Saccharomyces cerevisiae S288C: one gene and its partner. The protein of the gene in region 1 interacts with the protein of each later gene in a biochemical or structural test. Each region holds a gene or a part of one and is shown on either strand. Other genes may lie near its edges.

What was found.
Region 2: the proteins of PRO3 (region 1) and CMD1 form a complex in vitro, tested with the Saccharomyces cerevisiae proteins (one study listed by BioGRID).

Annotation. Positions count from the first base shown.
Region 1 is NC_001137.3:199,099-202,776, forward strand, and holds PRO3 (pyrroline-5-carboxylate reductase), read left to right. Parts: upstream 1-1,977; coding exon 1,978-2,838; downstream 2,839-3,678. Other genes in the region: SRB4 (Srb4p), read left to right, coding at 1-1,777; carnitine O-acetyltransferase YAT2, read left to right, coding at 3,094-3,678.
Region 2 is NC_001134.8:457,079-460,045, reverse strand, and holds CMD1 (calmodulin), read left to right. Parts: upstream 1-1,683; coding exon 1,684-2,127; downstream 2,128-2,967. Other genes in the region: ALG1 (chitobiosyldiphosphodolichol beta-1,4 mannosyltransferase), read right to left, coding at 1-1,174; AIM3 (Aim3p), read right to left, coding at 2,381-2,967.

The DNA of each region.
Region 1 (3,678 bases):
CATGCCGTTGGAGCAATTGATCCCAATCATCTTAAGACAGCGTGGTCCAGGCTTTAAATTCGTTGATTTAAATGAAAAAGAATTGCAAAATGAGATTAAGCAGCTTGGTAGTGATAGTAGTGACGGTCATAACAGCGAGAAGAAGGACACTGATGGCGCTGATGAGAATGTACAAATTGGAGAAGATTTCATGGAAGTGGATTATGAAGATAAAGATAATCCAGTGGATTCACGAAATGAAACAGACCACAAAACGAATGAAAATGGCGAGACCGATGATAATATTGAAACGGTAATGACACAGGAACAGTTTGTTAAAAGAAGGAGGGATATGCTAGAGCATATAAATCTGGCCATGAACGAATCGTCTTTGGCTTTGGAATTCGTTTCTTTGCTACTGTCGAGTGTTAAAGAGTCTACAGGTATGTCATCAATGTCACCATTTCTTAGGAAAGTTGTTAAACCTTCTAGTTTAAACAGTGATAAAATTCCATATGTTGCACCTACAAAAAAAGAATATATCGAGTTGGATATATTGAATAAGGGATGGAAGTTACAAAGTTTAAACGAATCTAAAGATCTCCTACGCGCAAGTTTTAATAAACTGAGTTCCATATTACAGAACGAACATGACTATTGGAATAAGATAATGCAGAGTATTAGCAACAAGGATGTTATTTTTAAGATTAGGGACAGGACTAGTGGTCAAAAGCTGTTGGCAATTAAGTATGGTTACGAAGACTCTGGATCTACCTATAAGCATGACAGAGGTATTGCTAATATAAGGAATAATATAGAATCACAAAATTTGGATTTGATACCCCACAGTAGTTCAGTGTTCAAAGGCACTGATTTCGTACATTCAGTAAAGAAATTCTTAAGGGTTCGTATCTTCACAAAAATCGAATCAGAAGATGATTACATATTGAGTGGCGAAAGTGTGATGGATAGGGATAGTGAAAGTGAAGAAGCTGAAACGAAAGATATCAGAAAGCAAATCCAACTTTTGAAAAAGATCATTTTTGAAAAAGAACTGATGTACCAAATAAAGAAAGAATGCGCTTTGTTGATTTCCTATGGTGTCAGTATTGAAAACGAAAACAAGGTAATAATTGAACTACCTAACGAAAAATTTGAAATCGAGTTGTTGTCCCTTGACGATGACTCCATTGTCAATCATGAACAAGACTTACCAAAAATCAACGACAAGAGAGCAAATTTAATGCTTGTTATGTTGAGACTATTATTAGTCGTTATATTCAAGAAAACATTACGATCGAGAATAAGCTCACCCCACGGACTGATCAATTTGAATGTTGACGATGATATCTTAATAATACGTCCCATTCTTGGTAAAGTTCGGTTTGCTAATTACAAACTGTTACTAAAAAAAATCATAAAGGATTACGTGCTCGATATAGTTCCTGGCTCAAGTATAACAGAAACGGAAGTTGAGAGAGAACAACCTCAAGAAAATAAAAACATTGATGATGAAAATATAACTAAATTAAATAAAGAGATCCGTGCCTTCGATAAACTATTGAATATACCTAGACGTGAACTCAAAATAAATCTACCATTAACTGAGCACAAAAGCCCTAATCTAAGTTTAATGCTCGAAAGTCCTAACTATTGTAACGCACTCATTCACATCAAGTTTTCAGCTGGTACGGAAGCCAACGCAGTGTCCTTTGACACAACATTTTCTGATTTTAAAGAAGTAGAGGACTTCCTACATTTTATTGTCGCTGAGTACATCCAGCAAAAGAAGGTGTAATATCCTGAGTCACTCCTTAAACCTACATACATTGCCATAGAATGCCATTTATTACTATATAAAGTCGCATACGTACAAAAGGACAAGATCTTATCTTCGAAAACAAGAATATGAAGGATTTAATAACATTGCCAGGTTAAGAACGGTGTAACAACAATAGAAGTAACACAACACCAATAGCAAACAAACCAACTACAGATATGACTTACACATTGGCAATTTTAGGCTGCGGTGTTATGGGCCAAGCACTTCTTTCCGCCATTTATAATGCTCCAAAGGCGGCTGATGAAACTGCTGCTGCATTTTACCCTTCCAAAATTATCACATGTAACCATGATGAACCTAGTGCACAACAAGTTACCGATCTAGTTGAGACATTCGACGAATCTCCTAACGGTATTAAAGTCGAAAGCACTTACGGTCACAACGTGAGCGCTGTCGAAGAAGCTTCTGTAGTTCTTCTTGGTACCAAGCCATTTTTGGCCGAAGAAGTGTTGAATGGTGTGAAGAGCGTCATTGGGGGAAAGCTACTTATTTCCCTGGCTGCTGGCTGGACAATTGACCAATTGAGTCAATACACTAGCACTGTTTGCCGTGTTATGACGAACACACCTGCCAAGTACGGATATGGTTGTGCGGTGGTGTCCTACTCAGCTGATGTTTCCAAAGAGCAAAAGCCACTGGTCAACGAATTGATTAGCCAAGTTGGTAAATACGTTGAGCTTCCAGAAAAGAACATGGATGCTGCTACGGCTTTAGTCGGTTCAGGCCCCGCTTTTGTTCTCTTGATGTTAGAATCCTTGATGGAGAGTGGGTTGAAATTGGGAATCCCATTACAAGAGAGTAAGGAGTGTGCCATGAAAGTTCTAGAAGGAACAGTGAAGATGGTTGAGAAAAGCGGTGCTCATCCATCCGTTTTAAAGCATCAAGTTTGCACACCAGGTGGTACAACTATTGCCGGGTTGTGCGTAATGGAAGAAAAGGGCGTCAAGAGCGGTATTATCAATGGTGTTGAAGAGGCAGCCCGTGTTGCGTCACAATTAGGCCAAAAGAAGAAATAGATTGCTTTGCGTGAAATGTATGTATGTTCGCTTTGTAGCCGTATATTATTTTTTTATTACTGACCTTGCATTTTTTCGTCATTTTCCCGTCGGTCCGATAATGAATCATCACGATGAATGACTACCCCATAATAATGACACTAATTGGAGCGTATAAAAGAAAAAAATTATATAAATGTGTTTGTAATGAGTAAGAGCAATTGATTCATTTGAAATGAAAATCAAAAATCAAAATTAAAATAAAACTAAGCAACCATGTCAAGCGGCAGTACTATTGTTTCGTCTGACAAGTCGGGGCGAACATTTAAGCATGAGGAAGAACTACCCAAGTTACCATTACCTAAACTCTGTGACACTTTGCAGCGTCTGAAGGAGAGTTTAGAGCCATTGTATTATGCTGATGGTTACTATCAACATCCTTTAGATCCAGAACAAATTGAGAAGCTGTCATCCATAATAAGAGATTTTGAAGAGAATCCCGTAAGTGAGAAGCTGCAATCTAAACTACAGAGCTACCATGACACTAGGGATTGCTACCTTGATGAATTACACTTAGACATCAATAACCAGACCTCCACTAGGGAGATTCAGGACGATGTCCTACCCAGGAATCCCTTCTTGGTTCTCGCAGATGACGCTTTGCCAAACATCACTCAAGCTGATAGGTCAGCCGTCCTAGTGCACTCTGCGGCCAGGTTTATTTCTGCTTTGAAACAAGATTTGTTGCCACCAGATATCAATGCCACCAATGGCAAACCACTGTCAATGGCTCCATTTCTGAACTTGTTCGGTACTACTCGTAGTCCTGTTTTTCAGCGCGGTGAGGTTGAAAATTTTGAT
Region 2 (2,967 bases), on another chromosome or scaffold:
GTTGTACTAATTCGTCAAGCACTGGATAGTTCATTGCAATAACAGGAAGACCTGAGCCAAACATATCTAAAATTTTCATTGGCAGGTCCAACCCTGAACTTGAAGTATGCAGGGAAACTCCGTAATCGCATAATTGTAATAACTTTGGGTAATCCTCTGCTGACAACCACACAAATTCGATTTGACAGCGCTTCCAGTCATATTCTTCTACTTGCTTCATATATTTCTCCTTTAGTGGTCCTTTACCCGTTATAAAACACAAGATCTTAGGCAAACTTGAATCAAATTTGACATAAGAGTTTTCGTAAATCTTTAGGGCACCTAATAAAATACCAATATCTTCATCAGGGGTGAATGATGTTGAAGTCACAATAATTTTATCGCCTTTTTCTGTATCAAAATCATCGCGAATATAATTCTTTATAAAGGCTTTGGTAGTTAGGGCTTTTTGACGAGAAATGTCACCTGCCAAAGGTTGAAATTGGGAAGCCGGGCGGTCGTAGAGAACAGCACATCTCTTTGGATTCAAGTGAAAGCTTTGAATTAAATATTTCCTCATTGCTTCAGTAACAGTCAAGTTATAATCAGCAAATTTGCTGAATATCATCTCTACCATGTAAGATATCAACACTAAAGGATGGTAAAAGTTTCCTTTAAATTTTAGTTGCAATATCGAATATGCTAGATTGTGCCAATCAATAATTAGTTTACAACCGGTCAACTTGTATAGCACAGCAATCGGAAGAATGGGTATGCTCGGTGGATTTTGAACTAGTATGTAATCGCTTCCTCTCAATTCCCAAAGTAATTTGAAAATACTTAAAACTTGAAAAAGCACCTTCTTTACCATAAATATAACTGATGTTCCGCCTCCCTTTCTTTTCAAGTTTGACATATGATGGACGGTGATATTTGGATCACTGGAAATAATTTTGGGTAGAGTGTCCTCCACATAACCGCATAGCTCGACTTGCCAACCTAACTTACTGAAACTTATAGCGTGATAGCATATCCTTGGAGAGTGTCCTACATCACCCAGCACAAATATGATGATCCTTTTTTTGGTCGACTTGTTGCCATAAAACAAGTAGGGTATAACATAATAAACCACTAACGGTATGGAAAGGTATAATATTATTAAGGCAAGTAACCACCGAGGAATTTCCAAAAACATTTTCACCAATTGACTATAGCCCCTAAAATGCCGTTACAATTACCCTCTAATGGCTTTGCTAATTGCTGATTGAAAGATATATGACCAATTAACTTGATGATTGCTATATGCGCGTTCTATTGAAGCAACGTGCAAGATGATCACTGCTTGGATTGACCTTGTTTTAGCAACAAGCCATACAAAGATATCAGACAGGAAAGTCACAGTCAAAGCATGCAAAAATCGACAAAGCAAACATAAGTAGAACCTGAGAACATCAACCATATGTCCTAATGAATTCAAGCACCCTCTTTTCCACCCAATTTGAGACATTTTCAAGATGTATTTATATTTTCGTGTACTGTGATATGACTTTATTCTTAGAATTTTTTATTGCCCGCGTAAGAAGGTGTTTAACAAGAGATCTTGTTAACTCACAAGGGTACTCTGACTGGATAGAAATCTTATTCTTGACCGGAAACTATCGAACTACAAAGAAAGAGCTTAGTTAATACAAATAAAAAAGTACAATGTCCTCCAATCTTACCGAAGAACAAATTGCTGAATTCAAAGAAGCCTTTGCCCTCTTTGATAAAGATAACAATGGCTCTATCTCATCAAGTGAATTGGCCACTGTGATGAGGTCATTGGGTCTTTCGCCCAGTGAAGCAGAAGTAAATGATTTGATGAACGAAATAGATGTTGATGGTAACCATCAAATCGAATTTAGTGAATTTTTGGCTCTGATGTCTCGTCAACTCAAATCAAATGACTCTGAACAAGAACTACTAGAAGCTTTTAAAGTATTCGATAAGAACGGTGATGGTTTAATCTCCGCCGCTGAGTTGAAACACGTGCTAACATCCATTGGTGAAAAATTGACTGATGCCGAAGTAGATGATATGCTAAGAGAGGTTAGTGATGGATCAGGCGAGATCAACATTCAACAATTCGCTGCTTTGTTATCTAAATAGGTGCATCCTTGTGATTTTTTGCTCCCGCTATCTTACCCTTACCATTCTGGTTTTATAGTATTCGTTGAGTATCGTTTCATCTAAAGTTTGACAACCACACGCAAATATATACTGTACGTAGACAGGGTTAATGTTATTTATGTAGATAAGTAATGTTCCTGAGAAGACAGTTTAAATAAAGGATACGGATTGTTTACCAAGGCGGATAACTAAATTTAGCCAGTATTAAGTTCAATGTTGCGTAGCTATTTCATTATTTTAATTTATGCAGTCTGTCATCTTCTTGAGGAACAACATTTCGTTTGTATCTTTCAAAAGGATTTAAGTTATCGTCAGCAGCAGAAATATCTCCCGAATAGGCCCTCTCCATTTCAATAGGTCTTGGTTCGAGCGATTTTAGTAATGGCTTTTTCTTTGGGACCACTGGTGGCTTTTTCTTCAGGTTATCATTCTTTTTTGGGACAACAGGCGGCACTTTCTTTGGACTAGACCTAGAAGGTGGAGGCCTTGGTGGAGTAATAGACCCCGATGCAGACACATATTTTTCATCTAGATCTGAGGGAACAGGGCTAGAGTCCTTCACTTTTTTCGAACCGCCTAACTTTTCCAAATTAACGTTTGTTTTTCTTAATTTGATATGCGACAACTCATTGGTAATGGAGTTTAAAACTTCATCTTGTCCAGTTGCTTCCCTAGTAAGTTCCTTGGGATATTCATTGGCCTTTAAAGAAAAATTTCTAGGTTTTGGCTTTACAACAGGAGGAGGCGCCTTCTTCGTAGACTGTTGCGCTTGAATAGACGAAGTTACAGGAGGTATTGACTTTTCATATTTATTAGCAT